Linked DNA regions of Daphnia pulex. The main gene of each other region encodes a partner of the protein of the gene in region 6 in a complex. Links are inferred from orthologs where the notes say so. Each region holds a gene or a part of one and is shown on either strand. Other genes may lie near its edges.

The links.
Region 1: pre-mRNA-processing factor 6-like (region 6) and U4/U6.U5 tri-snRNP-associated protein 2-like share a complex: the UniProt entries of both Homo sapiens proteins name them as parts of the U4/U6-U5 tri-snRNP complex. The link is inferred for Daphnia pulex from reciprocal best matches to the Homo sapiens genes PRPF6 and USP39.
Region 2: pre-mRNA-processing factor 6-like (region 6) and small nuclear ribonucleoprotein F share a complex: the UniProt entries of both Homo sapiens proteins name them as parts of the U4/U6-U5 tri-snRNP complex. The link is inferred for Daphnia pulex from reciprocal best matches to the Homo sapiens genes PRPF6 and SNRPF.
Region 3: pre-mRNA-processing factor 6-like (region 6) and U4/U6.U5 tri-snRNP-associated protein 1-like share a complex: the UniProt entries of both Homo sapiens proteins name them as parts of the U4/U6-U5 tri-snRNP complex. The link is inferred for Daphnia pulex from reciprocal best matches to the Homo sapiens genes PRPF6 and SART1.
Region 4: pre-mRNA-processing factor 6-like (region 6) and U6 snRNA-associated Sm-like protein LSm8 share a complex: the UniProt entries of both Homo sapiens proteins name them as parts of the U4/U6-U5 tri-snRNP complex. The link is inferred for Daphnia pulex from reciprocal best matches to the Homo sapiens genes PRPF6 and LSM8.
Region 5: pre-mRNA-processing factor 6-like (region 6) and U6 snRNA-associated Sm-like protein LSm5 share a complex: the UniProt entries of both Homo sapiens proteins name them as parts of the U4/U6-U5 tri-snRNP complex. The link is inferred for Daphnia pulex from reciprocal best matches to the Homo sapiens genes PRPF6 and LSM5.
Region 7: pre-mRNA-processing factor 6-like (region 6) and U5 small nuclear ribonucleoprotein 40 kDa protein-like share a complex: the UniProt entries of both Homo sapiens proteins name them as parts of the U4/U6-U5 tri-snRNP complex. The link is inferred for Daphnia pulex from reciprocal best matches to the Homo sapiens genes PRPF6 and SNRNP40.

Annotation. Positions count from the first base shown.
Region 1 is NC_060025.1:1,779,032-1,783,171, reverse strand, and holds U4/U6.U5 tri-snRNP-associated protein 2-like, read right to left. Parts: upstream 2,695-4,140; 5' UTR 2,564-2,694; coding exon 2,488-2,563; intron 2,408-2,487; coding exon 2,261-2,407; intron 2,201-2,260; coding exon 1,911-2,200; intron 1,854-1,910; coding exon 1,628-1,853; intron 1,560-1,627; coding exon 1,273-1,559; intron 1,205-1,272; coding exon 1,014-1,204; intron 954-1,013; coding exon 818-953; intron 754-817; coding exon 667-753; intron 606-666; coding exon 558-605; 3' UTR 501-557; downstream 1-500. Other genes in the region: uncharacterized protein LOC124202306, read left to right, coding at 3,500-3,551, 3,642-3,772, 3,847-3,926, 3,997-4,140.
Region 2 is NC_060019.1:9,593,577-9,596,393, reverse strand, and holds small nuclear ribonucleoprotein F, read right to left. Parts: upstream 1,352-2,817; 5' UTR 1,211-1,351; coding exon 1,205-1,210; intron 1,126-1,204; coding exon 997-1,125; intron 878-996; coding exon 746-877; 3' UTR 737-745; exon of another isoform or gene 695-736; intron 683-694; 3' UTR 501-682; downstream 1-500. Other genes in the region: phospholipid-transporting ATPase VD-like, read left to right, coding at 2,404-2,707. UniProt on the Homo sapiens protein: Plays a role in pre-mRNA splicing as a core component of the spliceosomal U1, U2, U4 and U5 small nuclear ribonucleoproteins (snRNPs), the building blocks of the spliceosome.
Region 3 is NC_060026.1:10,447,664-10,451,656, reverse strand, and holds the start of U4/U6.U5 tri-snRNP-associated protein 1-like, read right to left. Parts: upstream 2,801-3,993; 5' UTR 2,775-2,800; intron 2,674-2,774; 5' UTR 2,472-2,673; intron 2,391-2,471; exon of another isoform or gene 2,368-2,390; 5' UTR 2,355-2,367; coding exon 2,189-2,354; intron 2,134-2,188; coding exon 1,963-2,133; intron 1,906-1,962; coding exon 1,580-1,905; intron 1,516-1,579; coding exon 1,254-1,515; intron 1,196-1,253; coding exon 896-1,195; intron 831-895; coding exon 547-830; intron 474-546; coding exon 311-473; intron 237-310; coding exon 62-236; intron 1-61. UniProt on the Homo sapiens protein: Plays a role in mRNA splicing as a component of the U4/U6-U5 tri-snRNP, one of the building blocks of the spliceosome. May also bind to DNA.
Region 4 is NC_060019.1:330,990-333,608, reverse strand, and holds U6 snRNA-associated Sm-like protein LSm8, read right to left. Parts: upstream 1,132-2,619; 5' UTR 1,053-1,131; coding exon 1,022-1,052; intron 960-1,021; coding exon 919-959; intron 838-918; coding exon 710-837; exon of another isoform or gene 644-709; coding exon 553-643; 3' UTR 501-552; downstream 1-500. Other genes in the region: zinc finger protein 277-like, read left to right, coding at 1-188, 251-335, 403-489; alpha-ketoglutarate-dependent dioxygenase alkB homolog 7, mitochondrial-like, read left to right, coding at 1,726-2,010, 2,087-2,254, 2,320-2,444, 2,523-2,619. UniProt on the Homo sapiens protein: Plays a role in pre-mRNA splicing as component of the U4/U6-U5 tri-snRNP complex that is involved in spliceosome assembly, and as component of the precatalytic spliceosome (spliceosome B complex).
Region 5 is NC_060021.1:7,375,193-7,377,708, reverse strand, and holds U6 snRNA-associated Sm-like protein LSm5, read right to left. Parts: upstream 1,033-2,516; 5' UTR 1,001-1,032; coding exon of another isoform or gene 968-1,000; 5' UTR 946-967; coding exon 913-945; exon of another isoform or gene 854-912; coding exon 656-853; intron 583-655; coding exon 544-582; 3' UTR 514-543; downstream 1-513. Other genes in the region: serine/threonine-protein kinase mos-like, read left to right, coding at 1-59, 135-299, 358-513; peptidyl-prolyl cis-trans isomerase H-like, read left to right, coding at 968-1,000. UniProt on the Homo sapiens protein: Plays a role in pre-mRNA splicing as component of the U4/U6-U5 tri-snRNP complex that is involved in spliceosome assembly, and as component of the precatalytic spliceosome (spliceosome B complex).
Region 6 is NC_060027.1:3,689,252-3,693,452, reverse strand, and holds the start of pre-mRNA-processing factor 6-like, read left to right. Parts: upstream 1-1,401; 5' UTR 1,402-1,413; coding exon 1,414-1,504; intron 1,505-1,583; coding exon 1,584-1,723; intron 1,724-1,781; coding exon 1,782-1,965; intron 1,966-2,039; coding exon 2,040-2,077; intron 2,078-2,140; coding exon 2,141-2,336; intron 2,337-2,409; coding exon 2,410-2,505; intron 2,506-2,577; coding exon 2,578-2,732; intron 2,733-2,802; coding exon 2,803-2,830; intron 2,831-2,890; coding exon 2,891-3,068; intron 3,069-3,139; coding exon 3,140-3,302; intron 3,303-3,359; coding exon 3,360-3,521; intron 3,522-3,615; coding exon 3,616-3,755; intron 3,756-3,835; coding exon 3,836-3,986; intron 3,987-4,201. Other genes in the region: endoglucanase 12-like, read left to right, coding at 1-126, 201-429. UniProt on the Homo sapiens protein: Involved in pre-mRNA splicing as component of the U4/U6-U5 tri-snRNP complex, one of the building blocks of the spliceosome.
Region 7 is NC_060027.1:3,204,468-3,208,402, forward strand, and holds U5 small nuclear ribonucleoprotein 40 kDa protein-like, read right to left. Parts: upstream 2,801-3,935; 5' UTR 2,458-2,800; coding exon 2,380-2,457; intron 2,224-2,379; coding exon 2,094-2,223; intron 2,031-2,093; coding exon 1,857-2,030; intron 1,795-1,856; coding exon 1,586-1,794; intron 660-1,585; coding exon 456-659; intron 398-455; coding exon 232-397; intron 161-231; coding exon 108-160; 3' UTR 28-107; downstream 1-27. Other genes in the region: syndecan-like, read left to right, coding at 3,821-3,913. UniProt on the Homo sapiens protein: Required for pre-mRNA splicing as component of the activated spliceosome. Component of the U5 small nuclear ribonucleoprotein (snRNP) complex and the U4/U6-U5 tri-snRNP complex, building blocks of the spliceosome.

The DNA.
Region 1 (4,140 bases), on a different chromosome or scaffold from region 6:
CGTTTTCCAATTTTTTGTAGCATAAAATAAAAATCACCCCACCGCTGCTCACCGCAAAAAAATAAGCTATTTGAATTCGATCGAATGCTGGTCTGATTTTTGAAGAAACTTTGTGCGAGTGTATGTAAGGGAAAAAGAGTAGCAAACGAGCGGAATTCATGAAGGACAATTTGATTGCGCGGTGTGAATCTAATTTTTCACTACGACCCTTTATTTTTTCATCCCTTCTGTCCTCTTTGGGGGTTGTCTCTTACGTGTTTGTTTCAAGATTTCTTTATTTTGCTCTGCATTCTCAAACCCACTTCTTCTCTCTTAATTAAACAAATCACTCCTTTTTCCCTGTTTTGCCACACAACATCGTTTGGAGCAAGATAAATGAAACAAAAAAAAACGAAATAAGTTGTGTATTATTGCATCTTGTGTAATCAAACATGGTTCGTTTTCCTCGCGACGTGGTGTGTTAATTTTATTCAATCCAATAAGAAGTCTCACATTAATGCTTTAGTACGAATTTGAATATTTATTTCAACTCGGGTTTTACACTTTTGACAGAAATTTCAGTTGGACATTTCAACGTCGCTTCTTTCCGTAGATTGTTCCCATATCTAAAATGTTTGAACATTTTAAATGGGACATAATAACGTTTTATTGTATTTTTTTTTCTACCTGAATGTAAGCTTCTGTGAGAGTGATCATCTGCGGAAGAATTTCTGTCACGTGCAGATCTTGCATTTCAAACCATTTTCCTGTCGCCTAATAGAAGCAATTGACTCGTGAAGTTTATTGTGATTATTGGTCAACAATAAAACGAATTTACCTTATGAAGTATGTGAACACGATAAGTTCCCTTGGTTGGTTCTCCATCATGTACAATATTGGCTAACAGATCGTATGTGGTACATCCGTGTTTGGCGCGAACATCTGCACCTAGAATATCGCCAAAATCCACACCCCTAAAAGCACATCTCAATTTTGTAACAGTCAACAAAAAATGGTGTGGTAATTTTATTTACCTGATGGGGAAGTTTATGATGGTGGGATTCTTTTCTATGAAAAACGTGTTCTTCGTGAATCTCTTGATGTTGAGAATAATGTAACGTGGCAGTTTTGTCAATTCGAATCTCTTCAAAAAATTTTCCTTGTAGGTCTTGTATTCCTTTTGCTGGACTCCATTGAATTGAGACAGCAATGCAAACAGAGATACCTGAAAAATCAACAAAAGACTCGATCTAGCTTTTAATTAATGCTACAAGCTAATTGATTTTGGCAAACCTGTGGAATGATGTTTTCGCGAAATTCATCTTTGAACAGAGGAGGGGGAGGCAAGTCGGCTGCCAGAAAAAGGAAAGGCGAATCGACAAATGTTTCGACGTATTCGGCAGTCAACATCAGTGCATCCTTTTCTGTATCAGTGGCATCGATGGGTGGGATTCGCTGAGAATGAATTTTCATTGCTCCCAAAAAAGATTTGTAGATGATTGAAGAAGTTGGCTTCTTGGTACCGTTTAATGCCAGATGCAACGCGTTTAAAAACCACGAAAGAAATTCCACTGGATCACCTGAAATATGGAAAATGAAGAATTAGCAAGGTAAAATTTTAATAACAATTCTCATAATTTAATATTACCCTGGCTTGTAATTTGGAATTTCTTTTTACTGCACAGAACGACAGCCTGGAGCATCTCGTGGGGGGAAACGTGAGCCTTAAAGTTGCGTGGATTCCAAAGCTTACGAATCAATTCACCAAAACGCTGAACTAAGATGACGTTATTGTCTCCAGGAGGACGCTTGATACCAATGTAGTTCTCTTCCCTGAGAAAGTAATCGCGTAGTGGAACAACATGAGATAAAGCCTAATACAAAAGTAAGTAAAGTTTATTATTTTAATTTATAGTTTACTACTTCATTACCTGTAGGACTACATTGCAGTAATCATTAGCTTTGATGTTATTGAGTCCAACTACTCCAGGACGGTAAAGAGTACCATCACAAGACCTAGATACTTTATCAATGACATCCAACACTGCAATATTTGCTTTTTTGAATGTTGGATTCAAGACATATTTGATATCATCGAGTGATGAATCAATGATTTCATAGTTGTCTGGCAGACAATAGAATCTTAGGGTGTGAAGGTTCAAAAAAACATGATGTCCCTCTCCCACACTGTGAAGATATGCATGTGTGCTGGGGCCTCTTCCTAGAATTCATTTGAAACAATTTAAAATATGTGAATATTGCTGTTTAACTTCAAATTTACCTTGAAAGTATTTCCCACACACCAAACATGCATAGACATTAATCCTTGTGAGCGAGACTGAACAGAGTTTTTCAAAATCAAAATCCAAAACTGTCCTGTTTATTGTGTCCAAATAAGGACACAAACGAGATTTGGCAATTGGTTCTCCTAGAATTTTTATCAGTAAAAGTTGTTACACGGATTGCACTATATTTATTATTTGGTTTTGTGGATAGTGACAACAATACTTGTTTTCACGACGGGTTCGTCTTCATCATCGAAATCTTCATGTTTGCGCTTTATATCACTCTTTTCCGTCCCCATTTTTGAAAAGATATTTACCCCAAGAGCCAAAATTGACAGCTTTTCTTATTGTTTAAGAATTAAGGAAACTCGAATGCAGAGTTACGGAAAGGATAGCAGACACATAAAACGAATGCAACGCGTTAATGCCGGTAAACGAAAAAGTAGAATTATTGTCCTGTAGATGGCGTGAACTACTTCATTCAAATCTTGTAACGCGATTCAAAATTTCGTTTGATTATCATGGTCATGCGTCAAGTAAATAATTATTTGTACAAGATGGGGCTACTATTTTTTATCGTTTGAATTACTATCCTGATAACTAACTAAAAAACCCTTATTTTGTGTCTGGTAACGCTGTTGGGTCTTGGGTGTTGTGTAATCATCTCAAAGTTTAGAGTTTGTCTCGAATTTGTTTGGATGTATTATCAGAACTCTGTTTACCTTGATTAACTTATGTCAACAGAAGTCTATATTTTGAAAGCGATATTCATGGTTCAGATAATGATGTTCAGCATAGTGTAGATTTTTTCTGCCTGGATACAAATTGCTTACTTGAACCATAAACCCGGAAACAAGCAATTTCCGGGTTTCTAAAAATCAACTAAGCAATTGGTGAATTAGAATTTCGTAATTCATTTTCAATAGAATGTTTTTTTTTGTATAAGTTCGTCCTTCGAAGGTGTACAAAAATATAATCATTGGGTAATTTTGTTTGCCCTTTGATTTTAGCACGCAATACGGATTATCAGATTAGTCAAATCAAGTTCGATGTCACAATCATAATCTTTGAAAAACCCATTTATATCACTTTCTAATCAAGAAGTGATCGATTGCCCAATCATTGATAGACCAATAATTTTTGTATAAATTGGTCGTGTGCAGTTTGCATTTTCTGTTTCTCAAAAGGACACGGTTTCTTTCTTTAACTTTAAACTGAAATTGTGTTCGTTCGTCATGAAAGTGGTTGGCATTTTCGCTTTGCTCTGCCTTTTTACCCTTTCCAATGGTTTGCTCATATTTGTTACTCGTTCCTTGATTGGGTTGATTCTAAATTTCTAACGACCATAATTTTTAATTTTGTCATTACTTTTGGTAGGTGCTGGAATTCGACGCCCCGTTTCTGGAAAAGGCGAGCCGCTTCTTCGTCTTTCCTTTCCGGCCTCTGAACATTTGATGAATCGTGCTCGAAGTGGGGAAGCAGGAAATGCCAATGAATACATGGACGAGGTATTTGTAATATAATTCAATTTCGTTCTTTGATTTACTGAATTTTGTCTTTTTAAAAACATTTTATATTTTAGGTTTTGGCTTTAGTTCGCGAGCAGATAGTCCTGCTAGGATACGACCGTATTCAGCTTCCAGATGGCGATTTTAGCTTTACGTATGACGGGAAAAATTGACAATCAACTTTATTTTTAGTAAATATGAATTTTCTGAAATTTCCTAAATAGATGGGATGCTTACCCCGGCGTAAATGGCGGTGTCTTTTTGCACGATGGCTTGGCTACTGGTTTGGAAACAATTCACCGTGTTGGGGACGCTACTCTTAGCAACACTGACACTGTCATTTTCTTTGAATCTGATTGCGGCATCAA
Region 2 (2,817 bases), on a different chromosome or scaffold from region 6:
TAAATGTGATCCTGACAGTAACGTTTTAATCTTCGTTGTCTAGTTAGGAACGTACATTTGTACAATGTTTATTATTTGTTTCAAACCGTAGTAATTCATCTCGGAGTTCAACAGCCTATAACTCCCCTAACGTTCAAACGACAGTGATAACTTGCGCATGCTTACCGTCCTATAGTGTTAACAGCCGTGTTACATGCAGGCCAATTGAAACGTATTGAACAATTAATATTCATAAGCAATTAGGTATTCTTATGACATCAGCTGGTACCAGCGTGAGCCAATCGGAAAAGGTGTTTCCGGATTTGTTTGCCTTTTTGATTTATACCTTACAAAATATATTTACGAACAAGTTGGTGTAAGTGGAAAAGAAATGTGACTTGAGTTTTACGAGCATGCGGGACTGCGGGCTGCCTACTAACTTCATTCATAAGGTAGCTTAACCATTTTCCATTTAGACAAAGCCTTTATTTTCCGACTAAATGGAAAAAATCGCCGGAACGTAAGAAATTCCAGTATACTTAACATTAAATCACCAATACGGTAGACAACGGTTCTGTGTTTGGAATTTGGATACTGAAAAGCTGTTTTTTTACTTGTTTGTCCTTCGTTGTCTGTGGGAATCTTGTAATGTATACACCAGAACATATTTTTTAGGGTTTCCAGGTTTCCTATACAATAACTTCTATGAGATAGATAGGAAATGACATTATGTATTAAAGGATGAAAAATTCAATACAAACAGCAATCAATCTCTCATTTCTCCCTCCTCATCATCTTCTTCCACTCCACGTATGTAAAGTACATTGTTGCACCTGACAAGAACTTCACCCAAGTTTCCAGTACAGCTTCCATCAATATATTCTTCTGTGTTTGCCAACTGTGATAATATAAGAAGAATTATTGCCATTGTTCATATATGCACACTGTTTCGTGCAACAGCATGTTTTCATTTTTTTACTGATGAAAATGCACTACATGGTATAATTATTACAGTACCTGAAGATTCATGTATCCATCAACTGAAACGAGATAACCTTTGTATTCATGGCCCCACTTCAGTTTTACCATAATCGGTTTGCCGGTTAAGGCATTGAGAAAGGGTTTGGGATTGATGGGCATGGGTGCCTGAAAATATGAAATATAACATGTTAGTAAATGGTCGGCTAAAAAGGACCACCCAACAAGATTTAGGTTTTGAACTTACTGCCATGATTTGTATTTGTTTTAGTCAACGATTTTACAAAATTTGATTGAATGTTTGACAAGCGAGTCAAGCCGCGTTATTTCAGTTTACACGTTCTGTAACGTAAAGATCAGAAGTAAGGGTTGCCAAGTCGTCTTATTAAGTACATCAAATTTTGAGAAAGTTTTTCCATTTTGTAGGAAAGAAATTTACATATTTAAACCTAATAACTAGTGAACTAAAATTACCTTATAAAATAGGATTATTTAAATAATTTTTTGATGTAATGTAATGAGATATCCATCGTAGAGCAACGATCCCGGATCTCTGGTTCCGGACCAAAAACTCACGTCACCTATTCTGTTTTCAATCATAATAGCTGGAAAAATTTACAACCAAAGGAGAATTTTTTTTTATGTATCGTTATTAAGTGATTTTGTTTAATAAGTGACTCGTGGTCGTGGATATGAAAAGTCTTTTTAACAAATTGGCAAGAACAGAGAAGCTTCACAACCAGAATTAGCGCTCTCTAAAAAGTAATAAAAGAGGGTTTTGCGTTTCGCGGAATTAAAAAGATAGGAATTTATCACAGTTTGTCTTGATACAGAAAGACTTTTTAGGTTCAATTTTACATTTTGGAAGCTTTTAAACGGTCAACAAACCGGTTTCTTATTTCACTCCGGTGTCCATTCCGCGCAATTTCCTTTATTATCGGTTACCGAGTGTAAAATCTGGCAGTAAAGCTTGTACGGTGTATGCAGCAGAGGCTGAAAGCAGTGCACAGCTGGAATTTGCCGTTATATACGTGGACACACAACAAGTTGCTCAGTTGCTGACACTAAACTCTATCTTACCATTCTTTCATCTTTTTGCACTTTTTTTAAAGTTGACGTCACTTTCCAACCGATTGTTTTTCTTCCATTTCCTCACTGGGTTCCATCATTGGACCAAATAAACGAACAATCGTTCCACTGTTAAGACGATTTGTTGATTTTAGTCTGCCATGGACATTTTTTGAAAACAAAAGCTGACTTGTCTTTTTCAGCAATATTGAAATAAGATGTTTGGTGAGTAAATAACTCTCCCTTTTCCATTGCTCAGAAGTTTGTGTTGATTTTGAGTTGGTTGTTGGTAGTCACAAGCTTGACAGTTAGTTTCGTGAATGGTTAAAGAAATTCAATTGTAATTGAATTTGGTACTCTCTCATTTTCAGGGACGGTATGGATTTTGATTCACCGGGTACCACCTACATTTTTCCTGATGTGATGCAACCCCCAATAGAGCTTGAAACTGTCAACCCCCTGCCAAGCAGGGGTTGGCCGGGTGGAGTTAAGGGACATGTTCGCTCTGCAAGTCATGGTGTCATCGGAGTTTCCTTATTGAATCCAACATTACATCCACAGCCCTCTTCGCCATCCCCTGCAATTGGATTATTGGAGGCAGCTTCAGGATTGAATAAAGGGGAAAGATCTTCACAAGATGCTTCTTCTGCCAATCCAACAGTTTTAAAACTTCCTTATACAGGTATTTTTAAGGTTTCAGCACTCTTGATTTCTTTAGCAAGAAGACTTGTAATTCCTGTTATCTTAATTAAATATTTTGTTCATTTCATTGATAAAACCTTCTTGGTATTT
Region 3 (3,993 bases), on a different chromosome or scaffold from region 6:
AATAACAAAATAAAATAAGAATAACTGAATATCGTATAAACAAAACACAAAATAATTGTACGCTGCTTTATCTTCTATGGTGTAGCGCTGCGCCTGCAGCTCTTGGGCGGACTTAGAAATAACTATCCTCTTCTTCTCTTCTTTCTCCAGATAGCCTTTGCTCATAGCCAATTTCAAAGCTGCAGCCATTCCCGAGCCGACATCAGGTTCCTCGTCCAGGATAACAGTAGCGTTATCTATTTTACAGAGAGAAAAGAAAAAAATGCAAACACTGACAACAATAAAAGTGACGAGAACACAGTATACATACCCTTTTCATTACGATCGACATCCATGCTGTCGTCGGAACCTTGATCGTTTTCACGTTCCAGAACATTCCATCCACCGCGTTCTTGAAGACGCTCAGCCTCCCTTTTTCGCTCTTCTTTTTCTTGATTTCTTCTGCGTTCTTCTGCCAACTGTCGCTCGAAATCCTATTGCCAAAACAGAAACGCAATTAATTAAAGTCAAAACCAAAAAAAAAAAAACATTCATGCAATGAATTACCATTAACTCATCTTCGTCTTCATCACGATTGCCTGCCATACCATAGGTTGGTATGTCACCAAGAGTACGACAGAATTCTGCTGTGGCATTCAGTATGATACTACTCTTCAGAGGATCCTCTTCCATACCTTCCGTTTCTTCCAAAGGCTCGCGTTTTAATGACCGCGTAATCATGTTCATGTCCCACTGATCAGCCTTCCTTTCTTTTAGTTTATTAGCTTTTAATAGTGCCTGACGTATTTCTTTTTGGGATTCGTCTACAGTAATCTTGAATCCGCTTAAATCTGGCGTTGGATAAACAAGACATAATAAGTAATAATAAAACAATATACTAGTCAAACTAAAATACCTTCTGTGACCTCTTCATCCATTCTCTTCTTTCGAGATCTCGATCCCAAGTCTGACGAAGTTGTTTCTTGCGTTTCTTGAATAAGATCGTCAGCTTTTAAAATGCCGTCGCCTTTGGATCGAACCTTTTTGACGCGACGTTTAACTTTTTTGAAGGAAACCATTTCTTCTGCTGTATAATATTCAGATGCAATTTGGAGCGGTCGCGATTCCAGTGATTCAATTTTCTTCTGTTGCATTTTGAGTTTGTCTTTCATCAACTTTTGGGCTTTCATTTTGGCTTCTTCATCTCCAATTTTACCTAGAATTTTAACATAAATATTTTTGTAAAGATCAACAAAACAAATCTAATATTTTACCTAGGACAAAGCTATCATGTTTTTCTCCTTCTATTTCTGTGTCATATTTAGCAAGCAAGAGCTTTGGTTTGGGAAGGCCCAATTCATCAACTTCTTCCTCTTCATAGGGCTGATATCCCGGTCTCTGTTTCTTGATTTCATTGTTCTTTTTGTAGCGTTCTATATCAACAAGGTTGACATTCACCAAAACATCCCCTTCCTCTTGCAAGATGTTTTGATCTTTAAGAGTCAATACTACTTCTTTCCCTTCAGCTATCATTTCCTAACAAAATAAAGCAACATCAACACAGGTATTCAAATAAAAGTATACGTTGTCGGTGACTTACCCGGTCATGTTCTACTTTTATTCCTCGTAAGTCTCTACTTGTGTATGCTTTTGCTTTTTGTTTAATCAGTTCAGTAGTTACCATATCTCCTACACCAAATGCTTCATCCATTTCTTCAAGCATTTTTGCTCTTTTATTAGCTTCTTCCTTTTCTTTCTGAATCCTTCTTGATTTTTCAACCCAGCTAACAGCATTGTCATCATCATCAGCTGTTGTATGAGCAAGAGTGCGCACTTGTGCAAGCTTTTGTTCTATTTGCCTCTTTTCTCGTCTTTCATCTAGTTTTCGTCTCAACTCTTCTGTGGCTTTCTTTTCACGGAGGTTCTCTAGAGAAATACCACATTTAAATTGTACAAGTAAAGACATTTAAATGAAATCATTACCTGCTGGGACATGAACATCCTTTTTCTCAGTACTGGCTTCAACATTTGAATTTTCTCCTCCAATCTCCAATGGCTTCAAACCAAGTTCAGCTCTTATTCTGTTGGTTTCCTCAATCGAAATGGAAGTATCATTGGTTGAATTAGCAACTGGTCTTTCATCATTCCCTTTTCCTTAAAAAAAATTATTGGTTACTAGTTACTAATAAACATAATTTTGAATACATACCTGTCAACAGTTCTTCGCTCTGAATGTTGAGACTTATATCTTCCTTTATTTGTTTGGATTTGACGGAGGCATAACTTTTTGAATGTGATCTTGACGGAGACCTAGATGGGGAACGATGTCTTCTTTTTCGAAAATTATTATGATCGCGACTTTCTTTTCGGTCCATGTCTCCTTAAGAACTGAAAGAAAGTAGTTTAACTTAGGTGGGAAGTTTTGATTTCTTTAAACATAAAATTTTTTTCAATAGAATTCCTTAAAATATCAAACAATAAAAGTAGGGTACCAGAATCTGTATTCACTTAATGATCTTGCAACAATTTTACTTCAGAACTTGAGAACTGAGAAGCAGACTTCAGCTTTTGCAATATTTATTTTGATGCCGTTGGGTGTTGGTAAATTGCTAAATGCGGGATTGGAAAGCGGGGACAAATACAAATCCATTGATTCCGCAACAGATGGCGTGTTAATCCTCCTATTGAATAAAACTTAAAAAAAGAAAACAGAAGATAAATTTATCCGTAAATCAATAAAGGAAAAACATAATGAAAACATTAAGGCCAGTATAGTTTTTAACTATTTGTTTTACATGTGAAGACTTGTGCGGCAAAACCAAAAGTCCAAAACGAACAATGTCGTTGTCGATTTTTGTTTATACTAAGGGTTCCAAGATTCCGCACCAGGTTCGCTAGTGAGGTAGGCTGATCGCCTCAAAGACTATAGATGTTATTCCAATGAAAAAGTAGTAGTCGAACAAAAAGTCCTGCGCAGTTTACGCCGATGCGCACCACTGCGGCCGATAGCAGAACCAGAGCAATAGATGCCTGGTCGGTTCTCGGCTGTGTTGGCTTCCCTATCCCGGTTTTAGGGTAAACGTATCCCCGATTTTCAGACATTTTAGGGCGGAGCTTGTCAGAATTGTGAAGTAGAAACTGGAAACAGAGCCATCTAGGCTCTCAAAAGTAGCTAAGCGTAGTAGCTGACACACTCACTAGAGCGCTCATTCCAGTTTCCAAATCGGACCACGTTTACCCTGAATATAGGGTCTGTTGGGGTGACCACCCCCTCTCGATTTTCGCAGCGCTAGGTGGCTTATAGGATGAAGCCCGGCATGGCCGAAAAACGAAGAAATTTTTAGAAATTTTTTCAAAAATTTCAATCGTTAATATCTCGGCTTCTGAGCCGAGCATCGAAAAAACATGAAAATTGTTTGAAGAGGTGGGCTATCCCATCATTATGAAACAATTCGAATATTTCCAGGTGCAGCAGTTGACGAGAAAACTGCTGCACAAAAAACGAAAAAAATTCCAAATTTCGGCTACCCCCTCTCAGTTTTTTTAAAAAAATCTCCCAAATTACAAAAGCTAGGCGATTGCGGTTTTCAGCAATCGACTTAGCGAAAAATTTTGCACAAAACCCATCTATTTGTTAATTTTTAGAACCCCTAGCGACGATTTCCGCTAAATCAAAAACGGCCTCTTTGAGTGGCGAATCGCTTGTTGAATCGTTAGGAATATTGCTCAATTCCAGTTCGAAGTTGCCTAATTCCAGTTACGACAAAAACAGCAAGATAGAGTTGCATTTTGGTTCGGAGAAATAAACTGGTAATACTGTGTTGTTTTTTGGTGGTATATCTTCGTTCCATCCAAATATTTCTCTGTGCAGAGTGACTGGCAAGTTCGATTCAAGAACATACAACAACATCCTCAAAGAACATATTCTTCCTTTTTGCAAGATGAAATCAACTAGACATATTGGTGTAGTACATGACTGGTAATCTTATTTTCACATTACAAATTAAATTTCTT
Region 4 (2,619 bases), on a different chromosome or scaffold from region 6:
CTGGGCCTGAAAAAGAGCTTTAGTATCTATCAGCAAATTAAGATTGTCAACTACGTCAGGAGACAAGTGCATGAAAAGAAATGCATACTTTGCGATGAGCAGTTTGAATCCCGGGATAAACTGAGAGAGCACATGCAAAACTTCAGTCACTTTAAACTTCCCGATCGGGCAGTTTGGGATCAGTCACAGTAAGCCGGATACATTCAAAATTTTCTATTTGTGGATCCTATTTTATTGGATAAACTTTTAGGTACTACTTTCCAACCTATGAAAATGATGCTCTTCTTTGTTTGCTAGAAGATACCATTCCAGATGATTCTACTGAAACCGACCAAGTAAATTATATTAAGTCTGATTTTTATTAATGTAAAAACTTGTTTTCATGATTTTTCATTTAATTAGGTAACAGTGATCCCTGAAGACACCATCATAAACCTTAAAGTAGTTGAAGAAGAACTGCTTAAACTAGAGCTAATTGTAAAAAAATGAATGATTCTACAAAGCTGTAAAAAAGATTGTATTTCAAGTGATCATGATGGAATAATGCAAACTTTAATGGTGGATTTGAGCTAGTGGTTCTGCTCTTATTTCTGATAAATTGAGTCTGGAATCAAGTTCATTATCAATTTCCCCAATTAAAACTCTGAAATTACAACAAGAAATAGTTATGATTGAGTTATTTTACAGCTAATAAGTGGATGAAACATACACATTGTCTCCTCTGATGATGTGCAGTCCCAGTTGGACTTGTTCAACTCCCTGGGTAGAACTAAACACTCTCTCATGACTGTCGTCAATGATAAGGTTGATAGTCTGATCGAATCCTTTAAGAATACCCTGTAAAAAGAATACATTGAAATTATTTCAAACGGTTTATTGAGTGAGGATGATGCCTTGTGATCGGGCGTTACAACTTACAATAAAATTCCTCCCATCACTCGTGATAACACATACGGAACCTGCGAACAAGAAAGATACAATTTTTCAGTGAATAATAAACAATATAATAATTAAAACTCACGATTAACGTAAGAATCTAACGTTGATGCCATGATTTCTTCACTCGCTTCACTTTGTATTTGGCTTGTAAAAATCGTCTGCAATACAGCGTTGCCGTTTATTTTACTTTAATATCAACAAAGTATTTTCATTCATTCTATTCAGATTTAATTCATACAAACTGTAGTAAACTTATGTTTCAGTGATTAATGATTTCGATAGAGTAATATAATTTTTGTTTATGTATGGAAATTGGTTATTTGAAAAAGACTAAAGAAATCGAGAAGGGGTGCCTGAGGCTATTTTCCCGAGACGTTAATCAAATGGTTGGTGAGGAGAAGAACTCAGCAGGCTAGAGTTTTGATGAATCGTTTTCTTTGGCCATCAAATAAATTTGAAAATCAGATAGGCCCTACATTTCCATTATGCGGTATAATTCTTTATTTGGTCGGTTTTGAGGTATTAACATTAAACGAAATAATATATTAGCGTGACTAACCCCAGCCCAATTTTGTTAAATCTATTTATTTTAAATATACATGTCCATTAAATAAAGTACCGTCTGTCATTTTTAATGACATCATTTTTTACATTTGATTGCAATCAAAACGAAATATGGCATGTCACGTACACACACGCAAACGTCGTCTGCTCTTTGCAGAAAATTGCCGATTTGAAATATTTTGATGTCCGACTTTTAATGGTTGAATATTTTAGCATCGAGATATGGTGCTTTATCTGGTCAATATTCGTGCAGTTTTGAAGCGCGCAATTCCTTTAAGTGCTACTTGTTCCCATTCAAGAAGCACATGCTCAACTCCCGCAGAGACCCGCGGGATCTCTCCAAATTTAGAATTCTCTCCCGACTGCGATGAAGCGACGAGGCAAATGCTTGAGAAAGACTTTCAAGTCTACAAAGATTTCATCAGTGCTGAAGAAGAGAATAACCTATTGGAAGAGTTGGAGGTGAAGTTCAAAAGGTCCCGGTATCAGTATGACCATTGGGATGATGTAAGTCTGAAATTTCGTGTTCACGTAGGTTGTCTGACTGTTGAATGACCACCATTTGTTATTCGAAACCCAAAAGGCTATCCACGGATACAGGGAAACAGAGAAACCTACTTGGAATCAAGTCAATGACTGTGTTATAAATCGGTTGAGAGCTTTTGCCTTTTCAACTACCACGATGCAGCATGTCCATGTGCTTGATTTAGCTGAGAATGGTCACATCAAACCACATCTGGACAGCATAAAGGTATGATAGATGACAGCGTTTGGAAATTATCATTCTAATCTATTCGTATATTTCTCTAAACATAGTTTTGTGGCCCCACCATATCGGGCATATCTCTGCTCACAGCCAGTGTGATGAGGCTCATACATATACAGCGACCCCAAGTCTTGGTCACGGCACTATTACCGAGAAGATCATTGTATATAATGAAGTAATTATCTATGCAAAATAGAGCCCATCGTGATATATAACTCTATCTAAATTTCTGTCTCTCTCTTTGTTATTGCAGGGACTTTGCTAGATACGAATTTAATCACGAAATTCTGAACAATAGCGAATCCTTCTTCCGGGGAGAGAAAGTCACGAAAACTAGGCGTATCTCTGTA
Region 5 (2,516 bases), on a different chromosome or scaffold from region 6:
GGATTAAATTGGGAGACTTTGGAAATTCTGCAAACATTCATCAGCTTGATTTATTCCAGGTTAGTTTTATCTTGTCATATCTTGATGTGATTGAAAATGGATGTAATTTGTGTTCTATTTAATTTCTGTTTCAGTACCAACAAAGAGTAGGTACAGTTTCTTACTGTTCCCCAGAAATACTTCAAGGGGATGTTCCCTCAACAAAATCTGATGTCTATTCCTATGGTATAACATTATGGCAATTTGAACACAATCAAATACCTTTTTCTGACTTGGACTGGCCCACTGTAGCATACCTGGTATTTCATTTTTAGACTTTTTATGTGATTCATTGTTAAGTTTCTTGTTGGTTATTAGGTTGTTGCCAAGGATGAAAGACCAGTCCTCAATAGTAATTGTAATGAAGAAGAAACAACATTTAGTAAGCTTTATCAAAGCTGTTGGCAACCAAAACCTGAAGACCGCCCAACTATGTCAGAAATTGTAAATATTCTCAAGGATTTGAGTGAATGATGTATTGTCTTTCGAAAATTAAAGAAAAATTCATGAATGAGCTTCTGGTCCCTCTCCACCAGGAACTAACTAAATATCAATCATGAAATGGCTATTAGTTCAAGTAATAAGACAATAAATTATGTTGCTATAGCATCCTTACCATAGTTATGTTGTTTCCATTCAACAGGATCTGGTCTAGCTTAGTCACACGTCTTCCTTCTGGAGTAGATTCAAATTCTGACACATCTTCCAGCACCATGTTGACAAAATCGTCGAACCCTAGCAAAGTTCCCACTATTTCCTTGTCATTCTTCATGATAATGTGGATCCTTGAACCAATGCATTTATCAACCAACTCCTGTATACCACACCAAATTTAGGTGAAGATTTAATTGCATAACTTTAAAAAAGTATTACCAGAGGTAAAAGCGTGGGTACTGGTGCAGCCATTTTATTTAATTAGAGGGAAAAAATGAAATGTCTTCCACGCCAACTTCGAAAATTTGTAAGTTAAGTTTGGTAAAATCTATTGCACTCCGGAGTCCGGAGCGCTCTAGTGTCAAAAGTGGCTATTGCACTCCGGAGTCCGGAGTCCTCTAGCGTCAAAAGTGGCTATTGCACTCCGGAATGGAAATATGTAGTACTTTCATTTGGCGACCGATGGCATTCTGTTTCTGTGTTTTGAAATTTGAATGGTTTAGATTTTTTTTCTTTGGAAATTCAAATAAAATGTATTTATAACAATCATATATATTTGAATATCACTAATAAATAAAAATAGTCAGTGTATAGAAAGAACTTTTATTTCGTTATCGTTAACTTAGCTAGAGTTTAGAGTACAATGTCCAACATTGAATCAGTACCTTAAAATTCAAATTGTAAATATAGTTAAGTGTCTTGCAACAGGAATAAAGTAGAATTTATAAACATTTCAATTCAGGGTGATATTTCTTGTTAACCATTTCAATTTCTCGCTCTATTTGCTCAGTGTAAGGATTTATACACGTTATAAACGCATATAGTGAGTCACCCTTTGTCGCCCCTTACCTGCCTGAAAGTCGAGCCGGAGTTCTCAGAACGGGGCTTCGAGGGGTTCTTTGTGACCTTCAAACGCATTGACCAGCAACTCACTATTTCTGCTGATTTACACGTAACGTGTGATTCAGCTGATTTCACGCTATAAACCATGCAATGCCCGTGTCTCTTATTCCAATAAACTAACAGCTAAACACGTCTTTCATATCTTGAAACAAAACAATACAAAACTAAGTTAACATGCAGATGCAGTTTACTTTATTATAGTGAGAATATCAAAAGACATTTTAACTGAATTGTGAGTGCGAAAAAATACTTGGTATTTTCGTGTTCAGTTTCACTCGGTGCTTTGTCATCACATGAATGAACTGACAATGAAAAAGTAATTGATTTTAAGGGGAAAGAATTAGCACATGGTGCGGCGTCAATCAAAGATCCTTTAAGAGCGGAATATGGAAGCGCCTTGTCCTTTGATGATGGGTTGCTTTAGGTTCCAACGCCGCGGAGATAATCATAAACAAAGTTAACCACTCCTCTTTTTGACTACCAGTATTTTGTAACATCTATCTCCCTTATGTTGTAAAAAGAATATTCCTCGACGATGACGAATGGTTCTGTCACGAATGTAAAAAATAAATACCTTATTATGTAGCCTCATGTATACAAACCCAGGATTGAACTGATTATGTGAAATATATTGTGTTAAATTTGAGTAGAAAGTAAACCTACTGTTTTTGTTTATACACACTCAACTTCTTTCATTATTAAATGATATCGAAGAACATTCTTCTTATGTGATATAAAGTCATGATCAGGTCGTAAACGTAAAGAAATAGCGAAAACCCCTAATCCTGCAAACCTTAAAACTTTTATAGATGAAATAAGTAAAATCTCACTTTTCAAACATGATCCTTTTTTTTTCAAAATGTCAAACACTAATTTCTTGAAGGCATCAGGTTTGTTTTTCATTTGGGGAAATCTCAAAA
Region 6 (4,201 bases):
CATCAATCCATTGGCGTATCGCAAACTGGCGCAACAACAAATTCATTATGCGCTTGGAGATACAGGCCGTAGTTTTGTCGTGGGTTTTGGAGTTAATCCGCCGTTGAAACCTCATCATGCGTCCAGGTTTGAATAAAACATTGTGCTTATAAATATGATAGCATTATTATTTTTTAATGTTTTTATTTTTTTTTATGTAGTTCATGTCCGAATAGACCAGCTGTTTGTGATTGGAGCACTTATTCCTCAACTGCACCCAATCCCCAGGTGCTTTATGGAGGTCTAGTTGGTGGTCCAGATAGCAACGACAATTACACGGATGATCGGAGCAATTACGTTACCAACGAAGTAGCTTGCGATTATAACGCCGGCTTCCAAGGATCTGTAGCTGCTTTGCAATCATTGGCTGTCCAAGGTGTTTTCAACTAGAATACAAATTTACAAGATAAGACAGGAATTTGTTACACAACTATATTATATACCTACATTTTAGAAAGTATATTTTACTCTTAATTCTGCATGGTTATCTGCTACAGTACTGCTGATCTTGTTGGTTTTCTTGGAAATGGGATTTATTACTAAAGGTTAAAAAACGCCTGCATTTGTGTGTTCTTGAAAAGTTAAATAAAATTTGGTGATACATTTCTCAAACTATTGGTAACTTTTCAACCGATGCGCATGTCACGAAGAATCGTCTATTAATCTGAAAGAGTATAAGGAAAGTCTGGAATACGTTTGAGTTCGATGTCCTTTTCAAGGTAAAGGTGGTAGCTCGCGTGTTGTTTCATTCAATCTGAAACCTGAATTATGCAACTGCTGAATTCAATAGAAGATGTTGATAAATTGATTTCCACACCTAATTGATTTCCAAGTTCCCAAACATCACAATAGGCTAGTCATTAATCTAGCGTCGAAGTTGATTGGTTTCAAACAAGAACATCTGAAATCCGCACAGGGGGTGATAAACTGATGTATAGAAATCGAAAAATGCAACAAGCGTAACTACGTTTTCCGCGAAGAAACCCGTAAAGAGATTTCGCTGAAATTCCTCGTGCAAAAGAAGTCGTAGTTATCAAGGCTATAGTTCCATCGGGAAAAAAATAAGACAATTTTTAAAAATGTCTAAACAAAAGAATTTTGTGCGTCATCCATATTATAAAATCTACTTGAAACTGGTAGTGTGAGTATGCATTCCATCGAATGGGTCCTGTATTTCCTAATACCAGTGCGTTGCTCAAGTAATTCTTTTCCTCTAAAATGGTTTTAATATGGTGATGGTATTCTTGTTACGCAACTGTATTTTCGTTATTTTTTAATTATTGTGAAGTAATATGCAATAACGTAAAAGAGTTGAGTCTGTGCCGTGTATGCTTTGACCGAATGTAAAGTATAAAAAGGCGAGCGGGACGAACGATGCTGACAGAGAATCCAGCAAACTTACTACCGAGAATGTTGTCTTTATCCGGCTTCATCGTTATTCTTCTTTTCATGCATCTAGCTTCCGGTAAATATTCTTCCGTGTGGTTCCTCATATTTAACATGATTATAGAGTTGAAAAATACACCAATCAAAATAATAAATAGGAGGACCGTGCGATAATGTCGTCACAATTAGCTCATCTTGGCCGGGAGGCTTGACTGCCTCGCTTAATATTTCAATTACGACTCCAATCACTTCATGGGAAATTGACCTGAAATTTTCATCGGCCGTTCCATGGTTAAAGGTATGACACGCTCCTGTTACATCATAGATAGCATTTTTGAATATTTTTATTTTTAAAGGCTTGGGACGCTACAGAGTCTAAGATTAATGAAGTGGAATATCAGCTGAGAAACCTCAGTTCTAACGGAGTTCAGAGCGCTGGGGCTACACTGACGAGTGTCGGTTTTAATGCTTTCTTTAGTTCCAGCACCACACCCATTATTACAAGCGTACTTTTTAACGGAGACAACGTCTGTTTAATTGGTAAGTAACTAAATTATTAATCGTAATAATAGAGAATTTTTGGTTAAATTTTGTTTTTATTATGTCCTTCCAAGACACTAAAACAGAGGCTAGACAACCGATAATAGAAGAAGTAATAAATTTTAATTCTTTGGCATAAAATGGAAAAAGTTGTACTAAATGAAGCAATTTCTAGGAGAACAACCTTTTAGTGGATGCCTGGCCGACTAAATACAATTACCGTGAAGTAATCACCAAATCATTGCTCTTCTACTATGCCCAGCGCTCTGGGCGCTTGCCAGTAAACGATAACCCCATTCCGTATCGTTCAGACTCGGCGCTCAACGATCGTGGACAAGACGGAGAAGATCTCACTGGAGGCTATTACGATGGTAATTTATACTATTATTTGTATTCTATTTTATTCCATCAAAGTATTTGAAATTCTTTACCATATTTATTTAGCTGGAGATCACTTGAAACTCGGTTTTCCTTTAGCCAGTTCTATAACGATAGTGGCTTGGTCGATAATTGATTATCCGCTTGGATATTCTTCCGCAGGTTTTAAAAATTTAAACCAATTTCTCGTTGAATCAGATCACTAAACTTACTGGATTAATTTAAATAATACAGGGAAATTAACAACAGCTCGAAATATGGTCAAGTGGGCGACAGATTACTTTATCAAGGCCCATGTGCAAACTAACAAATTTTATGGGCAAGTGGGCGATGGCGATCTCGATCACGATTACTGGGGACGTCCCGAAGAAATGACCATGAAACGACCGGTATAAAGCCCTGACCCATTATTAAACTCATTTATTTCATCGACTGAAAACTACATTTCTATCGCTTTAGGCTTTTTTTATATCTACCTCAAAACCTGGTAATTTGTTTTTAAATTATATTGTCGTTCAAAGAAATAACACAACATTGCGCACGATAGGGTCTGACTTGGCCGGTGAAACAGCTGCCGCACTTGCCGCAACTTCAATAGTTTTTAAAACAGTCGACAGCACTTACTCAGCTCTTTGCTTGACACATGCAAAGCAATTGTACGATTTTGCTAAACGACATCGAGGAATATACAGCGAGTCCATCCCACAAGTAGCAGATTTTTATTCGTAAAAGCTTTAAATTTAATAAAATTGTTGCGTTTGATGTGTATCCGGTATAATATCACAATTGCCTGTAGGTCAAGTGGTTTCGGTGACGAACTGGCTTGGAGCGCTAGTTGGTTATACCGAGCTACTAACGATAACGCTTACCTCGACGATGCTAAGGCATTTTACACCGATTTCAACCTCTCCGATAATCCATCGGAATTTTCATGGGATACGAAAACTGCCGGAGTACAGGTAAATCAGTTATATTTGTTTAATTATTGTTCCGTTAATGCCATTTAATTCATATAGGTTCTGTTGGCCAAACTGACAAATGAGAACCTCTACAGAAACGCAGCGAAAACTTTCTGTGATTCCAAAGTTGAACAACCGAAGACGCCAAAGGGGCTCCTATTTGTTACCAAGTGGGGATCTTTAGGCGCCGCATCAAATATCGCTTTCATTTGTCTTCAAGTATTTAAAAAAAAAATTATATTCACAATTTTACGCCTGGTGATTAAAAATACGTTAAACTAATATATTAATATATTATTCACTTATTCCGTAGGCTGCCGATCTGAACATCAATCCATTGGCGTATCGCCAACTGGCGCAACAGCAGATTCATTATGCACTTGGAGATACAGGCCGTAGTTTTGTCGTGGGTTTCGGGCACAATCCACCACTGAAGCCACATCATGCGTCCAGGTTCGTGTTTTTAGCTTCTTGTTCATACAATAGATATCCAGAAATATTATACACATTTCTAATTTTTCGTCTTTTTGCAGTTCATGTCCGAATAGGCCCGCCGTTTGCGATTGGGATGCCTTTGATTCACCCAATCCTAATCCCCAGATCCTCTATGGAGCTCTAATTGGTGGCCCAGATAACCAAAATGACCATTACGTAGATGACAGACACAATTTCGTTACGAACGAAGTAGCTTGCGATTATAACGCGGGCTTCCAGGCGTCTGTAGCTGCTCTGCAATCACTGGCTGTTAACGGAATCTTCAACTAGAAGCAGTGCAGGAACATGGAAGATGAGATGAAGAAGATATTTAATATTTTCATCCGCCTTTCGTTTTAGTAATAAATCTTCTCGGTGTTTTTGGTTGTTCGGAATGTGTCAAATAACAATCGGGAAAATTTTTT
Region 7 (3,935 bases), about 480 kb from region 6:
CGATTAATTTAAATGCAATTTTGTAAATATGCGTAAAAGAATTATTTGTTTATTCGTCCTCGATCCTTGCCATCGTTTCAACTGAAAAAAATTATAACCTTTCCTAATTAAGCGTCAATTTCGCCTAGGTAAATCAGCTTGTCACTGGCACCGGATGCAACTATGTTTCATTCAAAATAAAAAATCTGAAATTAATTGATGTCCTTGATGTTGATTTGCTGCGTAAATTACCAATAGGTTCCTTAGGATGAAATACAACGTCATTGACACTTCCGTTGTGACCAGGTAATTTGTAAATGATGCGGCGAGATGTAGTGTCCCAAATGTAAACGAATCGGTCGGCAGATCCCGCTGAAACTTTGGTTCCGTCAGGTGACCATGAGCAGCGAAGTAAATTCTATAACATTACACAAGGTATTAGAATGGATTGAGAAATTCGCCGGCATTGTATATACCTTTTCAAAGTTGTGAGCATGGCCAACCATCATTTTGATACAACGTTCTTGAGGAGCGAAAGGTCGTACATCCCAGACACGTAAAGAGTTGTCCATCGAGTTTGACAACACGTAAGATCCATCAGGACTGAGAGTCAAGCCGGTCACAGTGTCGGAATGGCCCTTCAAGGAGTAGAGGAGAGCATTTTTTCTCAAGTCCCAGACCTAAAAAGGAAAGTGTATGATTTACCTATCTCTCCATATTCACGTGAATAGCTCAAGGCCAGGACCAGTTGAAATATCGCAAATGCAAAACTACTTTTCAGGTTTTAAAATGAATATCTTCCAAAAAAAGGAGAAAACTTAACATGGGTTTAGTTCGAACGAAAAGATAATCGATAAAAAGTGAAAATTATCTATTTTTCAGAGTAAATTCTTCCTAAAGATGTCGCAAAATTGTCATAAGTATTACGGGGAAAAGTTTTGATCGATAATGTGCAACCATCTGACAAGCAAAGAAGTATCAGAATCCGCTTCCAGCGTTTCACATTTGCCTCAAACTGACAAAACACAAAAATGCGCATCTTCAGTAATTAGGATGGAATTAGGACATTTGACGAGACCCTACTGCTGAAATTACTTGAATTAATTTTAAAAACTTCGCCTACGAGCTTACATTAGTGAACCCATTCATATATCAAAGAGAAGGGGCCCTGGAAGTAAGGAAGGACTTGGTGACCTTATCAAGGTGAGACACGCGATAATCAGAATACCAAAGTTGAAATCCCTTGCACTCTTCAAGGAAAATGAACTCGATGATAGGGTAAGACAGAACTTGCACGAATATGGTTCAATATTAAGTAGAAAACAATCAACAATGTCGAAACTTTAGTTTTTACAACAAAGACAGAATATGACTGCAGGTCCTTCCTTTTTTGCCAAACTATTCTCTTGAAGCCATCAAGTAAAAATACTGAGAACTTTAATCAATTCTGTAAGAAAAATACTCAAGTTTGTGACTTTCTCCCACTCACACGGAATATGAAGTTCGCCGAATCGGTGGCTTAATTCAAATTCTTGGAAATTGGTCCCATAGTTTTTCTTCTCTCTCTCTCTCTCTCTATTACAACAATTGAATTTTGCGAACTCACCTTAACATCGTTGTCGATGCCTGCGGAAATGACTTGTTCGGCGGTATCGTTGAAGGTGACGGAAGTCGCTTGGTAAGAATTATCTAATGATACTGTCTCGGTTCTTTTTCTTGGATCCCAGACTTTGATGTTGCAGTCATCTGAGGCGCTGCAGAGAAGAGGAGGTCCTCTTCGTGCAGGATGAATAGCATTGACAAAGGAGGAGTGGCCTGTTGAAACAAATTGTTGTTGGGTTCAATTGCTAAATAATGGGACAGTGACAATGGTATACCTTTCAGTTTCTTGATTTTAGCTCCTGTTCTGGTGTCCCACAAACAAATGGTTTTGTCTGTACTAGCAGTGTAAATGGTATCACCATCGGTAGACAGCTGAAGATCCATTACTGCTCCGGTGTGACCAGACAACACAGCAAAGTTTTCACACTCTCCATAAACATTCCACAAAACTGTTGAACAAGAGGTTGATTATCCAAACAGTAGAGATGCTCAAATGTATATATGATGCTTACATATTTGTCTGTCGAACCCGGTGGAAACCAAAAACTGGCCGTCAGGATGGAACTTCAGGCTAAAGATATCTCCAGGATGTCCTGCCAGGAGCATTATAGGAGCCATGAGGCTAGACGTTCTTGCTGGTCCCTGTTTATTGAAAAAGTCAATATCACATTTGAATTCATCATAGCATCTACAACAACAAAACACACAAGCTGGTCAGCATGTGGTTGGATGCAATTCTCTTTTGTGATGCATTCGGCTCATTTAAAAGTTTATAAATAAAACACAAATAAATCAAACCTGTTGCAGGGCCACTTGACCCGAGGTGGCCGACACCAATTCATTATTGCTGGGATTGTTTACTGACACAAGCGCCATTGCTCCGGCTTCTAGACTTTTAAGAAAATTTTCAAGTTGTAGAAAAAAAAAGTGAAAAAGTTTTGACAACTACTACTGACGGAGCAGAAGCCTTTTCTTGCTAGATCTATATTTTATAGTGGTCGCCTTTTCCAAATCTTGTTGGAAACTTGGAAAGACTTTGGTATAATAAAAGAATAAAAATTGAGATGGGGAAAAGCTGTCACAGTGGTATATCGCTCAAGAATTTCCGAACCCTTTTTCTCTTTCTTTTTTTGGGAAAAAGAAGTTGTAACTCGAGGAATTTCATGAACACCCGCGCAGTCTTGGAAAACAATGGGTATTATTGGGGCCGGAAAACAGGCGAACCCACGATCGTAAAAAAAGAAAAGGAGTGTTAGAAGAAGGAGGGAGAAACAACAAACATTAAATCTCTCCCCTCGATATTTTCTTAAGTTTTGTGTGTCCGTGTGACTATAGAACAGAGGACCTTCTAGTTTTTTAACACTCGCAAGAAAACGACTTCACCAGTATATGTGATAGTCGCTATGTCTGGGATTTCTTTTCCATTCCAACGAAATTTGGTGCGTCGGAAAGAACAAAACTAGTCTCTCGAGATGAAGATATTTTGAGCGCTGAATCCATGACCTAAATTGAGTCATTCATTTTTTCCCAACATGATGAGGAAATGATGAGATTGATTTTTGTTTTTCCTTTTCTTTCCCGTGTGTGTGGTTTACATTCGTCCGTATAATTTCCACGTCTATGTTGTTGGAGGAGAAAGTGGGGAGGAGCTGAAAACTGCCGCCAGATGGCAGAGTTTTTGGTACCCAATGGCGGCGGAGGGACACAAAGAAAAATCCAGTCCCTTCAGTTTAATGGCGGCTCTCGGCTGGTGTGTTTGATGATCTGGGCGTGAGTTGGGATCTTTTAATCCATTTCGGCCTTTGGTTACATCGAGAAGTGTCTCGAAATCACGCCAATTCCCGGCAACTCTTTTTGTTCTGTTGATATTTAACATTCCGTCCCCGAATCGACGAGTAAAACTCGGCCATCGTTTTGGCTTCACCAGTGAACTGTGTGGTTGAGTGCGCGCCTGTGAGAGAGAAGAAGTGTGAAAGAAAGAAAGAAAATGCCCAGCCTGACCTGAGAGCATCACCGTCTGTGTTTAGAAAATTAGAAAAACGGACAAAAGGCTGCAACTATCCTAATTTATTCGACCACGTTCTCCACTTTTGTATTGAAATAACACAAAAATCTTGGAAGAAAACTTTAGAAACGGATATCCGGCTCTTAAAATAAATAATACTGAAAAAATCTCTCTCTCCACCCTCTCACACACACGTAAGGCAGACTCTCAAACGCTCAGGAAATTCTCTCAAAAATGAATCCCAGAATACATATGGCGATTTTCATCGCCTTTTTGGCTGCACATTCGGTTAGCAGTAACATCAACAGTGCATCATCGGTTGCCAAGGTAAGAATGCCACCACTTTTTA